4 linked regions of the Caenorhabditis elegans genome follow. The protein of the gene in region 2 purifies or fractionates together with the protein of the main gene of each other region. This does not show direct contact. Each region holds a gene or a part of one and is shown on either strand. Other genes may lie near its edges. The genes, in order: ctf-18, C05D11.13, C24H10.2 and egc-2.

The links.
Region 1: the proteins of C05D11.13 (region 2) and ctf-18 fractionate together in Caenorhabditis elegans (co-fractionation; one large-scale study listed by BioGRID). This does not show direct contact.
Region 3: the proteins of C05D11.13 (region 2) and C24H10.2 fractionate together in Caenorhabditis elegans (co-fractionation; one large-scale study listed by BioGRID). This does not show direct contact.
Region 4: the proteins of C05D11.13 (region 2) and egc-2 fractionate together in Caenorhabditis elegans (co-fractionation; one large-scale study listed by BioGRID). This does not show direct contact.

Annotation. Positions count from the first base shown.
Region 1 is NC_003282.8:10,122,028-10,128,230, reverse strand, and holds ctf-18 (AAA+ ATPase domain-containing protein), read left to right. Parts: upstream 1-1,586; 5' UTR 1,587-1,592; coding exon 1,593-1,657; intron 1,658-1,711; coding exon 1,712-1,878; intron 1,879-1,920; coding exon 1,921-2,159; intron 2,160-2,205; coding exon 2,206-2,408; intron 2,409-2,451; coding exon 2,452-2,620; intron 2,621-2,665; coding exon 2,666-3,123; intron 3,124-3,698; coding exon 3,699-3,951; intron 3,952-3,998; coding exon 3,999-4,262; intron 4,263-4,316; coding exon 4,317-4,580; intron 4,581-4,628; coding exon 4,629-4,844; intron 4,845-5,293; coding exon 5,294-5,548; 3' UTR 5,549-5,694; downstream 5,695-6,203. Other genes in the region: Ras GTPase-activating protein-binding protein gtbp-1, read left to right, coding at 1-291, 347-589, 637-995; irld-21 (Receptor L-domain domain-containing protein), read left to right, coding at 5,944-6,203.
Region 2 is NC_003281.10:6,442,557-6,446,211, reverse strand, and holds C05D11.13 (Vicilin-like seed storage protein At2g18540), read left to right. Parts: upstream 1-1,625; 5' UTR 1,626-1,806; intron 1,807-2,239; 5' UTR 2,240-2,240; coding exon 2,241-2,389; intron 2,390-2,427; coding exon 2,428-3,097; 3' UTR 3,098-3,155; downstream 3,156-3,655. Other genes in the region: let-721 (Electron transfer flavoprotein-ubiquinone oxidoreductase, mitochondrial), read left to right, coding at 1-194, 322-1,111, 1,169-1,335; mel-32 (Serine hydroxymethyltransferase), read left to right, coding at 3,397-3,459.
Region 3 is NC_003284.9:5,063,048-5,067,217, forward strand, and holds C24H10.2 (uncharacterized protein), read left to right. Parts: upstream 1-1,554; 5' UTR 1,555-1,596; coding exon 1,597-1,644; intron 1,645-1,698; coding exon 1,699-1,755; intron 1,756-2,260; coding exon 2,261-2,425; intron 2,426-2,479; coding exon 2,480-2,635; intron 2,636-2,690; coding exon 2,691-3,248; 3' UTR 3,249-3,616; downstream 3,617-4,170.
Region 4 is NC_003282.8:8,899,810-8,903,736, forward strand, and holds egc-2 (CCHC-type domain-containing protein), read left to right. Parts: upstream 1-1,836; 5' UTR 1,837-1,851; coding exon 1,852-1,908; intron 1,909-1,954; coding exon 1,955-2,576; intron 2,577-2,623; coding exon 2,624-2,941; intron 2,942-2,987; coding exon 2,988-3,151; 3' UTR 3,152-3,368; downstream 3,369-3,927. Other genes in the region: rad-54.L2 (Helicase ARIP4), read left to right, coding at 1-913, 957-1,106, 1,153-1,238; Putative serine/threonine-protein phosphatase C27B7.6, read right to left, coding at 3,438-3,591, 3,892-3,927.

The sequences.
Region 1 (6,203 bases), on a different chromosome or scaffold from region 2:
CTTCCAAAACCGAGCAACCTAAGGAACAATCAAAGCCGGCTCCTCCAAAGCAGCAAACGCCAAAGAAAGCTGAAGATCGTATAGTGAAGCAAGACACTCCGAAATCTGTGGAAAAGGAGGTAGCGAAAACACCGCAGAAACCACAGCTTGCCCAACAGCCCCCACAGCAGAGAGCCCCAGTTCCTGAGCCTGTTCAAGAACAGCCAAAGGTTCAGAAAACGTGGGCTAATCTTGTGGGTGGAGGTGGAAAGTCTCAGCCCCCACAACAACAAAGTTATGGACAAGGACAGCGTGAGTTGAAAAAACGAAAGATGATCGGGCTAGTCTCAGATTATTTATTTTTCAGAAATCCATCAGCAAACACAAATGCACCACATGCAGCCTTCCATGCATCAGCAACAACAAGGATCGCATGCTCCTCTTTATCAGCAACAGAGACAGTCGCACCCAGCTAATGAATTGCGCCAAGCTCAGGAAAGTTCAGATGCCAACCTAAATGAGCGTAAGATCTATTTGGGAGGAATCACTCGAGAGATTGTCCCCAGCAACACAGCTCAGGCTGAATCGGAAATCAAGCAGGTGTTCTACAGTAAGCAAATTAATAGTCCCAATAGTTCACTAAATTTTCATTTTAAGAATATGGAGAAATCGAGGAGGTTCGCATGCCGCGCAAGGTTCTTGACAGTCCGAACGACACATCGAAACATGCCTTTGCATTTATTACCATGCGTAACAAGGCCGGAGTAAAAGCCATTTTCGAAGCGGCTACAAAGGATGAGCAAGGCGTGTGGAAGCTTCCACTCAAACTGGATGCATTCGGATTTGACGGACATGCTCAAATTAGTGAGCAACGTGATCAACCACAAGGCGGCGGATTCCGAGGAGGACGTGGAGGTTTCCAACCACGCGGTGGACAATTCTTCCGCCGTGGCGGTTCGGGTGGTGCTCCACGAGGTGGTATGCGCAGCGGTTTCCAAAATGCGGGACAAAATTAGAAGCTTTCCGTTCTCCTTTTTCCTTCTTGTAAGAATTGCACATCCATTAGATTCTGTACCTATCCTTCTCATTTTCCTATTTATTGTTTCTCCTTTCCTTCCTCACCGTTCTAATAATGATGATTTAAGTAAGAAGATTCTGGTATCTGAATTTTATGGCGTGTAGCGTTTTAGTAGATCTCTCAACAATCCAATCCAATCAGCCCGCATCCCATTTTCACATCCTATCTCCCCGGTTTTCGGTGATTGACGACCGTGATCCCATCTGAGTTTACTCTTTTCGAGTACAAGTTGCAATCAGACATCATCCCACCACCGAATATCCAAGTTGTATTTGAATGTTGTTTTAATATATTACCACTTTCCTTCTCCTTTTACAAGCCCCCGTTATTGTTTCCTTCATTGGTGTTCGGGAGTACTCTTTGTACTCAAGTTCTTACCCCCATTTTGGCACGTTGGAATTAAAATAAAGTTTTGTATCTAAATTATTCAAGTTTCTCAATTTGTTTTTTTTATATGTAGTGTGTCAAGTAACAGTGTATTGTACTTATTGTTGTGAGATTGTGTTTCTAACATTTCTAATGGATACAGCAAGACATGGATGATGACTACAATGTACTGCATTCTGGGTTTGCCGACGATGATGGGCAACTTGAATATCCGTAAGATCTTTATGTTGAGAAGCAGAAGTAGTTTTACATTCGCTGAATTTTAAGAGATGATGAGGATCAGCTAGCTGTAGTTCCGAATGGAGACTCTGAAAATCAAAGAATCAATGAAGTTAGGAATGCTCTCGAAGAAGTTGGATATGGTAAAAGAAAAAGACGCTTGAATGAAGTAGAAGACGTATTTGATCAATATGGAAGACGTTCACATCCAATGGGTCAGTCAAAAAGAAGGTTTTCCAATTAAATTATATATTTAGATTGGCATATGAGAATGGAAACAGTTTCCAGTGAAGTATTACAAAAGTCACAAGTAAATGCTGTTAAGAGAAGAGCCCTCGAAAGCTTGGAACAGAAAATCAACGAAGCAGCTGCTCAAGCTGAAAGAAAAATGAATGAAAATCATCATTCTAATGCTTTTGACGATTTTCAAAGCGGAGAGCAGACAATTTCTTCACTTTGTGAGCTAGAAATGGAACGGAGATATAGAAGACGACAGGTTATTACTTTTCCTTGAAAGATTATATTTTTATCATTGAATTCAGGAAATCATGCGAAATCCGGTAACTGATGGTTCACCTTGGATTGGTATCAGTGATGTCGTCAACGGGCAACGATTTTATATTCGAACTTTCCGTGATGATCGTCTTTCTGTTCCGTTAGTAGAATCGATTACCCAACAAGCAACCCGTTCGAGGGTCGGTTTTCGAGCTTTTCAGTCGATTTGTCAGGAATCCGAACGTCTTAGGTAATAGTTTCACTAGAAAATTGAATACTTTTATAGTTTTCAGCAAGTTGAAAGAAGAATCTCGCGTTAAAGAACAGGAAGCCGAGTTTTCACGCATGCTTAAAGAAACTGAAACACCGTCTGAATATGAAAATAATAAATCTCATCCAGAATCATCATTATGGGTGAACAAGTACGAAGCCAAAAATTTCTCAGATTTGCTCTCGGACAGTGTAAGGAATTACATTATTTTAAAAAAAGAAGTCACGATATTGCAGACTGTCAATCGAAATATTCTTACATGGCTGAAAATGTGGGACGAGTGTGTGTTCCATCAAAAAGTCGACGATTTACTAGCAAGCCTCGGTGAAAAAGAACGAGAAGTACTACACATGGATAATGGCAAAATTCGGCGTCCATCATCGAAAATGTTGCTTCTTTCTGGCCCGGCTGGTCTCGGTAAAAGTACACTAGCACGAATTGTCGCTCGTCAAGCAGGCTATTCAACAATTGATGTAAATGCAAGTGATGCTCGAACAGTCGCAGATTTAAATAAAGTACTAGAAGGAGCTGTAAAAACATCTCGAACACTTGATGCAGATCAACGGCCAGCATGCCTGATTCTTGATGAAATTGATGGAACACCAATTGATACTATTCGTCATTTGGTTCGGTGTATTCAAGCAACAGGCAAAAAAGCCATTCGGCGACCCATTATTGGAATTTGCAATAATTTGTAAGTTATTTTATGGCTTCAGTGACACAGAAAGAAAATATATAATAGGATATCGGGAACAGTTGCAAAAACATTTTCAACCAAAAACCAATTTTCTCCAAAAAACCGAAAAAAAAAACACTTTTGATTTTTCCATCATACCTACATTTTTGAAAGATAATCTTTTGTTTTTTAGTCCAAAAATCCATTTTTGCAAGAAACACCAACTAAAAACGACAGTCCTAATCGGGAACAAAGATGTCAGCGAAAATTTTGACGATTTTTTTCACTGAAAATCTAAAAATCGAAAAACGACAATTTTTCGAAGAAAAAAAATCAGTGAACCATAAAATTATTTTTTTTTTTTGAAATCAAATTCTGTTTTTGTTGATAAAAACACAAGAAAACATGAATAAAAATAAAATAGAATAAAAATGATCAAACTTTCAAGATATTTTTCGAAAAATCGAAAGAAATCAAAAACTAAAATTCTTGGTTTCAGATTTTGGTAAAAATCGGAACACAAACCCCCTTTATCGGGATAACTCAATGTATTCGTAAGATGTGTTTGATTTTCTAATTATTTGTTTTTAAAGGTATACGCCAGCATTGCGTGATTTACGAGGAGTCGCCTGGTGTGTGCAACTAGTCGCAACAAAACAAGATGTTTTAGCAAAACGACTGGAAGAAATTTGTGACCGAGAACGTCTTCGATGTGATTTGAGTACTTTGAGAAAGTTATGCGAATTGTGTGCAAATGATATGAGACATTCAATTAATACTCTTCAATGGGTAGCGGTGGCAGCACGAAAATCGAATCGAGCAATTGGAATGAAGTTGATCCATGAGGTATGACGCTGTATATTTTTTGATATTAATAGAAATCTGTTTTTTAGGTTATTGAGAAAGAGAAAGGCGGATCTGCTTCTATTTTCGAACATTGGTCGTCAATTCTTGAGTTATCTAAACATACAGACGCAAAGGGAGGAATCAAATCTGTACGAGAAAGAATATTTGATATCGAACGAATATCGGCAGACCATGGAGGAGAAGAACGATTTGTGTCTGGTTTACATGCAAATTATCTTGTAACTCTTCCAATTGGAGTAATACGCAAAGCGTCTACATGGTTTTTGTTCTATGATGATATTCAGAAAATCGTGAGTTTTAATTACTATTAGTATTAAACAACTATTATAAATTCTTGTTTTCAGGTACACAGTCTTCAAAACTGGTCGGTTCTAAAGTATGTTTTTTCATTCTTCGTTTCCCTCCATCTCAACATTGCGACTCATGCTCGTGTTCCGATCGCCTATCCACAGTTGGAACAAAATATTTTCCAAAAAACGAAGGAATCGGAAGAAACAATCAGCGCAGTTCGATCATGTGGACAATCGACTAGAGGTGCACCAAAAAAAGAGCTTTTGCTGGATATTTTGCCATTCATTGTCAATATTGTTCAGCCACCTATCAAACCGGTAACAATCGCTGGTTGTTCTCTTTTTTTTTAATTTTTAAATTTTCAGATGAATGAGTCATTGTATAATCAACGGGAACTTGCGACTTTCAATCAAACTGTCTCGATTATGTGTGATTATGGTTTGACATACACTGCCACAATGGTAAAAGATCAAGTTAATTGGTTATTTACTCCTTCAATTGATATTTTGACAATGTTTCCACTGGATGGACCAAAGCGGCCGTATCTTGCCAATGCGACAAGACAAATGATTGCTCATAAGGTTTGTATTTATTGTTTTAAATTAATTTTCTTTCATTGCCTGAAAGTTTTGAATTCACACTTTGTGCTTTCTTAAAATAAGGAGTAGAGTTTGTAGGTTTTCTCATCAAATAGATTAAAACCGGCCCGAGACACTCGATTTTGAAAATGAGATTTCTCAAAAAAAATTTCAACATTTTTGTGGCGTTCTGCATTTTCGAAAATTGTCGCAACAACTGGAATACAGTTTTTAAATCAAATTTTCACCCTTTAATAAAAACTGTATTTCAGCTGCTACGACAAGCTTGGGAAAATCTCAGATTTTAACAAATTCGAAATTCGAAATTCTGAAACACCATAAAATTGTTTGGGAAGTCTCAGTCTATTTGAGCAAAAAAAAAGCTCCGTGTTCTGCCCAGGCCATGGCAAATTTTATTTTCAGAATTTAATTTAATTCTTAAAAATTTTCAGATCACTCTTATGCGTGTTCGTCTGACAGAGAGTACCTCGAATACTGAACGAATTTCTACGAATGCCGATAAAATCAAAGCAATCGTTGAATCAGAAAGCAAAAAGAAGAAGAGACTATCTGCCGGAGCAATGAAAAGATTACACAATGGAAGACTAACAGATATAGTATTTAATCATCAGGATGGAGACAGTAGTGCTGTCAAAAAGAAAGTCACCATGCAACAACTCAACTCTATACTTTTTGGTGATTCTTAACCTTAATTTCAAAGTATTTGTTTGTAAAATGACACTATTTTTGCTGTATACTACTTTTTTCAGTTGTTTCAGCGCTGTATACACGTTCCTATGATCTTTTGCTCATTTTCCGATTTTATCACCCCAATGAACAATACATTCCTTTTAAGTTCAGACTAAAACATTGTTAATTTTCTGCAGAAAATAATGCGGGGTTCGAAATTGATATGAACAAAAACATGATCTCTTAATAGTTCATAGAATTCACATTTCAAAATTAAGAATGCTATAATAGCATTTCAGCTTCATCGAAAATGTCACTTGTTTTCATGGCAACTCAATTGAAATATGCAATTAAATATCTTCACCGATTCCTACTTCCACAAACTTTATTCTCAAACAAAAATATTTTGAGAATGTTTTTTCATATATTTATGTGGCTCTTTTATTTATCGGAAGTTGATTCAGACAATTGTTCATTTAATGTTCATTATATCACAAAAGAGAGCTTATTTCCAACTGAATGCTCTCAAATTATTGGAAGATTTCGTATCGATCAAAATTCTGAAATGAAAAGTGAACAATTGATCACTTTATTCAAAAATGTTCTTCAAATTCGAGGAGTTCTACAAATATGGAATACTCAATTAACTTCAGCGCCTTTCATGAAAAATAT
Region 2 (3,655 bases):
GTGGTATGGAATTCCACGCGAAATGCACAATTTTCGCTGAAGGATGTAGAGGACATTTGAGCAAGCAAGTTCTCGATAAATTTGATTTGAGAACACATGCAATGACTTATGGAATTGGACTCAAAGAACTTTGGGAAATTGATCCAGCAAAGCATAGACCTGGTTATGTTGAGCATACTATGGGATGGCCATTGGTAAGTTTCTGAAGATCTAAAAAATTAAGAAAAATTGAAAAATCTAGTAAAATGTGAGCTTTTTTTTTGAGTGTTTCAGATTAAAAGATATATTCTAGAATTTAATCTCTAAAAAATGATTTTTCAGAATGTTGATCAATACGGAGGATCCTTCTTGTACCATATCGAGGATCAAGGACAACCACTTGTTTCCGTTGGTTTCGTTGTTGCTCTTGATTACGCGAATCCAAATCTCAATCCATACAAAGAATTCCAAAAATACAAAACTCATCCATCGATTTCTAAACAATTGGAAGGAGGAAAACGAATTGGGTACGGAGCACGAGCTCTCAATGAAGGAGGATTCCAAAGTATCCCGAAGCTTCATTTCCCCGGAGGATGTCTTGTTGGATGCTCAGCTGGTTTCTTGAATGTCGCTAAACTGAAGGGAACTCATAATGCAATGAAAAGTGGAATGGTGGCTGCTGAATCAATTTTCGAGGATATTCAACAAAAGGGAGAGGATGTGCAAACGATTGATCCAGCTACATATGACAAGAATATTCGTGATACTTATGTTGTTAAAGAGCTCAAAGCAACCAGAAATATTCGTCCATCATTCAATACTTCATTGGGATACATTGGAGGACTGATCTATTCTGGAATATTCTATGTTTTCGGTCGAGGAATTGAACCATGGACTCTTGGACACGGAAAGAAGGATAATGAGAAGCTCATTCCAGTGAAGGATGCAAAAGAAATCGATTACCCAAAACCAGATGGAAAGCTAACTTTTGATCTTCTTACATCTGTATCTCTTACTGGAACCAACCATACAGAAGATCAACCTGCTCATTTGACATTGAAAAATGATCAAGTTCCACTTGATGTGAATTTGGCAGTATATGGTGGCCCGGAGGCTAGATTCTGTCCAGCTGGTGAGATTTTAATACAAATTTGACTTTTAAAAACACATAAATAACTTTTTTTTCCAGGAGTCTATGAATTCGTCCCATCCGAAGCTGATGAATCAAAGAAGCGTCTCCAAATCAATGCTCAAAATTGCATTCACTGCAAGACATGCGACATCAAGGATCCTCAACAAAACATTAACTGGGTTACACCAGAAGGAGGTGGTGGCCCAAAATACGAGGGAATGTGAATCCTTTAGCTTCTCGTTTATGTTTGTGTATAATTTTTGTACTTATTTATTCGCCACTATCGACTCGTAGATTATGTATTTCTGTTCTTCAACGGTTTCTCTCAATTTTCTCTCATTTTCGTGTTCCCCATCTTTTGTAATGCCATTACATTTTTATCCAAACCAAATGAATAGATTTCTGATTAGTGTGTACTTGAACGGAAAAGCTTCAATATTGCCATAATTGTGGTACATATATACATTCATCCCACTACAGTATCCTTTTCTGAAAAGATTGCAAAGTGTTGTATAGAAGAAGAGACGCAGATAATCAAACAAGACGTCTGCGCTCGTGTATGTTTGTCTCTGGACAGACATACACACAGAAACACCGACAATGAAGATATGAAGACACACAGACACACAGAAAGCCGTCATCGATTCTCCTGTTTTCTTTGAGCCTTATTTATATTTTTCTTATTACTCCGACGCGTAATTTTGAGATTTTTGCGCCAAAAACGGTACCCAGTCTCGACATGATATTTTTTTTAATGTGATAATTTCAAAACGGTGCACACCTTTGGAGAGTACTTTAATTACAAACTTTTGTAGTTGCGGAATGTTCATCGATTTTCCATCGTATTCCGATGAAAAACATCCTTAACTATTGAAAACTCAAAAAAAAACACGAATTTTAACAGAACGTAAGAAAAGTATGAAAAATCATGAACGGTTCCACACCAACTAGATTAAAAAATTACAGTACTCCTTGAAGGCGCACAAGTTTTTCTCATTTAACTAAAACATGTCGTGTCGAGAATCGGCACCGTATTCTTGGCGCAGGAGTCGCAAAACCTCTGTCTGTGTATTTAGTAATGTAGATTTTCAAGTTTTCTGAAAAATTAATGTATATTTGTAAGTTCAGAATGAGTAGAAAAGATTGCAAAAATATTGTCGAAGACGAAGAAGAAGATGAGAAGAGTAATGGGAATAAATCTGAAAGTCCACAAAATGCTGGCCTAGAAGAAACAATTCAGAATTTTATAGCAACATTTTTACCTGGTTCAAGTGATGAGTAAGAGTAGTAAATAGCATATTAAAATTTTTTTTAAGTTTCAGACCTCATATTACGGATATTCCAAGTTCATCCGAACCTCAAGAAGGATCTAGAGAATGCAGACTCTCCAAAGAAGCACATCGGAAACGTCTGAGAAGAGCTCGTGAAACATCAGAGGAGACTCACACACGTCTTGCCAAGGCTGCAGACTATAAAAGGAAGAGATGCTCAGAAGAGACAGAAGAAGAATATAGAGAACGATTGAAAAGGCAAGCTGAAAGAAAAAAAATGGAAAGAATGCAAGAGTCGGAAGATCAGGCAAATAATCGAAGAATAAAGGCTGCAGAGCATCGACGCCAGTATCTGCAAAGGGAGTCATTCGAAAAAGCTCAGGAAAGAAGGAATAAGGATGCGGAACGGAGAAGGAAGAGTCTCCTGGCTGAAACTCCAGAAGAAGCTGAATTGCGTAGAGCCAAGAATGCTCAGAGACGTCGGGATGCTATTAAGAATGAAACACCAGAGGAAGCTGAAAATCGGCGACAGCGTGATGCAGCAAGAAGACGGCAATATTTGCAGACGGAGACTTCAGAGCAAAAATCAGCTAGGAAAATCCAAGATGCTGCACGAAAACGTCAAAATCGAATTTTGAAGCAAGCAGGGCAAAGTGAAGAATCACTTGCAGTCATCACGGGATCATTGAGCGATGGAACTCTTTCGGGTCTATAAAAATTAATTGAAAATTTTTTTAATAAATAAGTAGTTTGTTGTTTGACCTTTTGCTTTTAAAACCGATAAAATCGTATTAATTTTTTGAATCAACGGTCCGCTCATTTCCACCTATCAGTCTTTAAATTCTGTTGAATCGCAATAAAAACGGCAAGTTTCATCTCTTGTTTGCAACAAAACAGAGAAACTGATAAGACTGATAACGATCAGTGGTCTGATCGATAGTCGATTTCTGTTTTAACACATTTATTCTGAAGTTCTAGAATTTTATTTGTTATTTTAATATTTTCAGGCACAAAATGTTTGCAAGGATAGTGAGCAGAAGAGCAGCAACTGGATTATTTGCCGGAGCCAGCTCCCAGGTTTGTGTGTGCACTTTCGCGTGGGATCAGTTGTAAAATACGCATGGCGCGAATATTTGAATTTGTAAAAATTTTGCCCGCTCAAAGTTGCAATTTGCTTTTCTCTCCCCATTTTCATTCCCAAAACGGCACCGTCCATGGTTCACTCGTTGTTTCTGATCAGAAAGTGATCTTCATCATAATATCTTGCCATTTT
Region 3 (4,170 bases), on a different chromosome or scaffold from region 2:
AACAAAGGACCAAAATACTGGAATGATCTTATTTGAGCCATAGCCAAAAAACCGACAAAAGTAGCTAATATTCTAATATACGTAGACGGAGCCAATAGCAAAGTTCAGCATAGAAAATATTATTCAATACAAAAACTGTAAAAGCCTCATTAAAATTTGCTGAATATTCTCGTAAAATAAATATATTTGTTTTAAGTGATAAGGGTTTTCAAATTTGAAGAATTGAATAACGAAACTTGTAATTTTCTATCAAAAAAAACGCTTCAATAAATTGAAACTTCTTACTCAAAACTGAAGCTCGAATCTCAAGCGATCTGTATCTCAAGACATTATTAATTCCAAAATTTTTTCTGCGTTTTTGCTTCAAATTTTTGAAATTTTTAATTTTTGTAGGGGAAGTCTAAAAACGAGTAGCATCAAAATTAAGAAGAACATTCAAAAATCCTAATAAAATTTACATAGTTTTGATTTATTTAGTAATAATATAAATTTTTTAATGGTTTTAAATTTTAAATATCAGAAAATTTGTAATCTGATACAGATTGTTACTATACGGGCATTTGATTTGCAATCACAAAAACATGAACTACATTTGGAATCAATTTGAGGTGAAGTTTTTTAACATTCTAAATTATAACTGATGTTCAAAAATGGTTAAAATCTTCAAAAATTTCAGAAGAATATTCCAAACTATTCTATCATTCCGATAGTTTTAGGTACTTTCATAAATTGCAAAATACTTAGTCTTTATTTGTCCATTACTGTTTATTATGGTTATTCTTTGATTTCAGACCACCATCCTTGCATGTATTGATTCCAAATTAACTTTTGCTTTTGATCTTTCATTTTCCCCACCGTGTTAATTGATAACATATTTTTATCATTGAAACAGACCCTGGCCCGTCGTATCGGGAAACATCAGTGAATCGATAATGAAAAACGTCTCTCATTTCGTAAGCCTCACTAACCGATTGGCCCGGGCAATTTTGTTGGCCGCGGCCCAGGGACGTTTCGAAGACAGAGACGACTCATGCTCACCGCTGCTCTGCTCTCTTTTCGTTCTTCTTGACATAGGGACGCGCTCAGAAACGTACGGAGCGGAGCGGAGCGAGTAGAGAGTTCCACAGCGCACATTCACACTCACAACCATCTGCGCTCACACCACTCACAAACACTCATGGAGGCAAAGGAAAGGACGAGCGCGCGCGCGCAATTGAGTGCCGTTCTGTGTATCACCAAAATCTTTTGAACGTTCAGTTTTTCTTAGTGCTTTTTCACTTTTTGCACATTGGGTGTACTTTTCATATATATTTTTGGTTCTATTATTGATAAGGGGATGTATTCGTTTTTTTTTCTTCATCCAACCCAGAACGTTTATATATTCAAAGCTAATTCATCTCTATTGAAAAAAAAACCAATTCTTTATTTTCAAAAAACCACGACATCTCTTATCTGTCTCGTTTTTCTTTGAAACTTTTTTTGGGCGGTGCCAGCTTGATTGAAAATACAGTTTTGTGTTGCTATCATTGTTGAATTTTTGAATTTCGCTTTGATAAACATTTTCATTTTCAGACATTGACATCTCCAGCTTGAGCCATGAATGGAAGCCAAAGGGTGCCGGAAATTTCACAAAAAATAAAAATGGTTAGTTAGTACTTACGCCTTTTGAATTAATAATGAGATTCAATTATTTTTCAGACCGGAGGATCAAAGCTGTTTGATGACGCCGTGACTGTGCAAATTAACATGAAAGAGGTTTGTGTTCTTGAGAAAAAAACGCTTTTTCGTGAAACCCACTAACTAAATTTCAAATAGCATTTCCCTTTTCCGGCTGTTCAGCAGCTGCCAGATAGCAAAAAGCCGACTAAGAAAAATGGCTCATTTTCGTGCTGGAAGAATGGAAAGAATATAGTTTTGGAGGTGGGGTAGAATCAGTCGAAATTGCCTCAGAAATCCAAATTTATCAATTAGATTTGATTAGAAACATTTCAAAATTTTAAATGACTGTTTAATATGTTCAGAAAAATTTAGAAACTTCGCCGCAACATTTAACCAAATTAAGCCAACTTTTAATTGTTTTCAGTGCTCATTTGTTGGTCATCCAATAGGTTAATCCCAACTTTACCCTAAATTTGCAAATATCTAGCTCAAGTCTAGCATTTTTTGCAATTGACATTTCTAGAATTGAAAAATATTTTCAAATAATGAAACTATTTTTCGTTTTCATGACCTATTATTTGCAAACAATTCTCAATTTCAGAACAAAAATATTGAAAAAGTCAGCAACTTCCGACGGTTTAACTCTAACCAGGCTCGTGTTGAAAAAGACAGAAACCAAGCTTCGATGATTTTTGATACTGACGACATTGACTCAGGAAATGGATCGAAAAATTCAAAAATGGAAGTGAAAATTACAATTAATATGGTACAAATTTTCAGGAATTCATATATACATAATAATTTTTAATTCATTTTCCAGAAACAAATTGAAAAGCATCATCGGGAAATCGATTCTTACATTTCGCCGTTTTCTCCATCACCGGATTCAATTTTTCTGCGCATTCCATTGTTGCCACAAGACTATGCGCGCATTGAAGAAGCAAGAGCCTCGCTTGACCAACTTGTTCGCAAATGTGTAAGTGATTTTTTGAAATTAAGATATATAAAAAATATAATAAAATTAATTTCAGCACCAAATGACTCCAAAAATCATCCCACCCAACGACGCGAAAAATTTCCTTCAAAACCTTCGACGGATCGATGTGCGTTGCAGTGCGTTGTACCCAAGGCCACCGGCACCTGGAGACAAGGAGAAAAAGAGCTACCGAATGTGTCCATGCTTTGAGCCGGAAATTGAGGACATTGAACGTCTCGTTGTTCACTATGACGGTGTTTTCCAAGCCATCAAGTATTTCCACAATCTTGACCTCTTCATGGAGCACCAACGAGCTGAGAAGAGAAATCTTTTCGGATTGGACTGTTCGGATGATGAGGATGATCATTTTGAAGATGAAGAAGAGTATGAGCATGAGTGTCGTCATCACTGTACTTGTAACAATGAGGATGAAGAAGATGTGAAGATGGGACAAGATAATGATCGTAAGAAACTCGAGAGCAAAATGATCAAAAAATTCGAACAGAAAGGTTTCTATTACAATGCGGAGAAGCAGCGAGCACTTCTACGGGAGTCTCTCCAAAAACTTGCTCTGAATTCTGGACCTGGATCTGGATCTGGATCTGGGCTCTGATAACGACTTTCAAAACTTATAGTACAATTTTATTCTGGAATCCGACTTTCCCCTTGCTTCAAAACTTGATCCCAAAATGCTGTATATTCAAACTCAAATCCCTTCTCTTTCAATTTTGTAACCTTTCCCATTGTTTTTCCGATTTTCCTTGCAACGCATTGTATATCCCGTTTATTTTTAAAAGTAAGCCAACAATTTCGAGTGTGAACCAATTCCAGATTTCCGCGTGAAACAGGTCCCTCCGTTTGTAATTACTGAACATGACTAAGAGAAGTGAGCAAAACATCGATTGTTGTAAATTTATACTTCTCGACACTAATTTCTATAGAGCATTTTAATTGGACAAAATAAAGTGAAATGTAAAAAAAGGATTTTAGGATAGCATGCATCATGAAAAAGTTACATGGATTGAAGGAGAATCCGTTCCTCAAACGCTAGGTGCTGCGAATCTGGGATACAGGTACAGCTAGGTGACAGTATGGTGATGCGATCATTCAGTCGTGAATTGCTAAACTTTATAATTAAACTGTGTGCCTAGGTGATAAAGCTCGTGGCCTCTTAGTCCACCACTACCGACTGAGCTATAAAATTTGTTAATACATATTTCAGGATTCATTGGAATATACAAAAAATTTATTTACGGCGTCGCTTTGCCTTTTTCCATTTGCTCTGAATGGAAGGTTCTTCACTTGGTACCGTTTTATTCATATCTTAAAGGTGGAGTGACGACAATGGGGACTTTGTCTAAATACAGTCATGATGATCCTAAACGATTAAATATCATGATACTTCGAATAACTTTCGATTTTTCAAAATTGTAAACACTGAGTAATTGACATTCTTTGACAGTAAATAAATATATTTCTAAAATTTTATTGAATAGGTTTACTATGCATCCACAGGAGTAGAAAAAAAAAAAAAG
Region 4 (3,927 bases), on a different chromosome or scaffold from region 2:
GATGCTCAAGCTGTATGTCGTGTCTATCGATATGGTCAACAGAAGAAAACATTTGTTTATCGTCTTATTATGGATAACTCAATGGAGCGATCGATTTTCAATCGACAAATTTCAAAACATGGACTACAACAAAGAGTAGTTGACGATGCACAAGTTGATGCAAATATTTCGCAAAAAGAATTGGAGACTCTTCTAATGTATGATGAGGCACAAGATGTTAATCATGACAAATGGAATACAGATGATTGGGATTTCGGAGATCCGGTTCTAGACTCAATCACTAAGAGAATGAGTCAAATGTTTGCCGGGAAACCGTTCCTTCATGAAACCTTGATAATGGAGTCAGAGCAATCACTCAGCGAGCAGGAAAAACGAGAAGCTCAATTACTTTTTGATAGAGAACGACGTATGGAGAACTATGATCCATTGAGTGGCCTGAGCAGTTCTAACTTTTATAACAATGCTCCTGGAAGCTCAATGGGAATGATGGGTCCACCACCAGTTCCGATGTTCAATAATAACATGCAAAATAGTTTCAATAATCATTGGCAACAATCTCCTAATCAGCTTGCACCCAATTTTGGATCTTATCCACCACAGCAATTTCCACAACCGATGCCAAACATGTCACAATTTCCACCTCATGGACCATCACCTCAAATTCCATCAATTCGTCCATCACCAATGCCTCACACGCTTCGAATGAATGTCAGTCAATTCCATCACCAAGGAGGTGGTCATACGATGACGTCATTCAACAATGGCTATCCGAATAATAACAATGGAGGAGCTATAGGAAACCCTCAACAAATGCTTCCTCCAAGAGATCCATCAGCTTTTCCGGGAGCTGTTATGAGCAAAATACCATCATTTTCCCCGGCTGGAGCAGTTCAACAATTGATTACTGATAGACGTGAGTTTGACGTTTAAGTTTTTTTGAAAATTCAAATTTTTAGAACTCGTTTTTCCCATTGTCGGACATAGAGATCAGCTTCATCAGGTTCAGGCAAATACACCAATACAGTTAGTTGTTCCGAAAAATGGATATTATGTGAAACTACGTGATGGAACAATTCTTGACGCTGTCGGAAGTGTTTTTGAGAATCGTTAGTTTACTAGAAAAAATTTCGTATAATTTTTTAAAATTTATAGATGCCCGTCAGCTTCGTGATATGTATCTAAGCAAAAATTTCAACCATGATCCGCAGCAGGTTCAAGAAGTCATCGATCTTGATTAACAACGTCTTGCATTTTTTTCTTTTGATGTACATTTCGTTTTTTATCATATAAAATACAACATCTATCTCAATGCAACATCCAATGAGATCTCTGATAATTCACTATCATTTTACTCAATTATTTTTCCTCTTATAGAGGCTCCTAAATTAATTTTAGGCAAGTTTCGAATTTCCACATTTCAACTTTGTCCACACTCTTCCCTTTTATCATTAGTATGTCAATTAATTAAATTTTTCTGTTTTTTCCAACACAGTAATCAGCTCCGCTGTTCGGCAAGCTGCCAATTGTGTTTTATACGCCTTCTCTTTTAATTTAATGAATAAATACGAATAATATTTAAATTATCGGATTCGCTTGAAAGAGAAATTGGAATAACATTTTTCCGCAGATCCCCGTTTTGTAGTGCCTCTTAATAACGCGTTTTTAAATACTGACTTGGTTACTGTAGGTTTTGGTCCCGACACGAAATTCTGAACTCGTTCGGCACGTTTCTTCAATTTTCTTCATTTCTCTCACCCATTTCTGATGAATTAATGGTTTTTAGATTAATTTTTAAATATTCAGCGTTCTGCCAGTTTCTCAAAATAATTTTTTTAGACATTTCGGTCGGATATGTCGGAATTGTCGAGTGAAATGAAGTCAATGGAAAACGGAATGTCGGCGAGAACGGTATTTTTTATCAAATTAATGACAATTTGTAAACTATTCATTTCAGGACAGACAACATTATCTTGAGAGAGCTCAATACTCTCCATGGCCAAAAACTCAAAATAGTGGAGCATTCGGAGCGCTAACTGATCAACCGAGAAAGTATCGAGGAGGATTTGGAGGAGGTGAAGGCTTCTCTGATTTTGGATCCGTTAGTGGACTTGGCGGTAGAATCCCCAGAAACTCCTCTCACCTAAACGACAGTTCTGGATTTGGTTCCGTACGAGGAGGGTACAGCAGTTATCGAGAAAGCAGATCATCTCGTGTTGCTGTTTCGGATGCTCTTTACATGAATAATGAACGTTGCGTGACACCTCTGCCATCTGAGAATATAATGGGTAGTCCACGGCGTGGATCTTTCCGAAGTTCGCCCCGATCCGATGGTATGGGATCTTCATCGAAGAGACCACGCTCTGGCCGCCGAACCGGTAGACGTGGGCGAGGTGGGCCAGGCCACTGCTTCCATTGTCAAGAGCATGGACACATTTCGAGAATGTGCCCGAAGAAGGTTGGAGAAACGGATGAACACGGAGATGGAAAAGATATCGAAGTGGAACCATTTGAGACGAAAGATTTACTCCAAGAAGACGCATCAAGATACTCTTCTAATATGAAGGCTTTGCATGGAGGTTATTGTTTGAATACTAGGAAAACGTAACAATTTTTATGTTTTCAGGTGGACTGTATCAAAGCAAGTTGGACAATCAAAAGGCCCGTGAGTCTTATTATGGAGGGTACGGCTACAGCATCAACAGTCTCACCCCAAGAAGTGTTGGCAGCGTGAGAAGTGGTTTCACAGCACCAATGATGTCGCCCGAAATTGACAAATTCTCAGAGCAGTTGGACAATGCTTTGAAGCTCAGCAATGTCGAGCCGGTAGCTCCGTCGCCATACGTGATGACTATCACTGGAAAAGGGCCAGCTGAAAAATTGATGAAAGAAGTGCCACCAGTTGCTCCAATCAACACTCTACAGAGCAGAGAAGGAGCCAAACGTGAGATTATCAAAATTCTATAATTGTATAATGTTCATTATTACAGAAATTTCTACGGAGACTTTGTCAATCGAGACACGCAGAACTGTGATGCGCGATGGAGAATTCCACTTCGAGGAGACGACTATCATCAATTTCCCACGAGTTCTTCCGCCCAACGTCCGTGTCATCGCTGCCCAGTTCGTGCCGGTCGCTTCACAAAATTCATAATTTCTGATAATTATGATGCTATCAAGGAAAATGTTTAATAATTACTATTGGGAACTCTGCCCAATTTGCAGCGTATTTTTACTGTTTTTCATTGTTGTTCCATTTATTGACTTCTAGGTATTGTTTTTTACGTTCTGGAATTGTTTCTGTCCTAAATTTGAAAACTTGTATTTTTGATTTGAGTCTTCAACCTCATTTCATAAAAGTGTTTCATGTTACTCTCGTTTCATAATTATACACACTCAAACTTGAACATTTTCTACAGTATACTTCATTCAAAGGAAATCTACGCATTTTCAGTAGAACTCGGAGGCGATCGTGGAATTGGCGGAGATTGGGCGAGTGGAGCGTCCGGAGATGGAGTTCTTGGCGGAGGCGGCGTCGTACTAGTAGTCATTCCCAATTTTTTGCGGATTGATTCAAGAGACATGACTTTATCTCTGGAAATATTGTAAACATGAAAAAACTTCTTCGCATATAAAAAACCAGCCGTGGACCGCACCTTCGGCGCGGCCCCCGACTTCTGGGGCTGAAAATTAATTTTTTATGAAACTACCGTAACCCTACAGTATTCCTACCGTACCACTATTGTACCACTACAGTACCCCAACTATATCCCTACACTAACCCTAACTCACTATCCCTCCAGAAGCCAAAACTTCACAGACTACAAAGGCTACATAGACTACAAACTATGGACACACAGAATAAGCGCTTTATATATAGTAAATGATACTTACTTCAAACTAACTTCTACTCCATATCCTTTCTGTGTC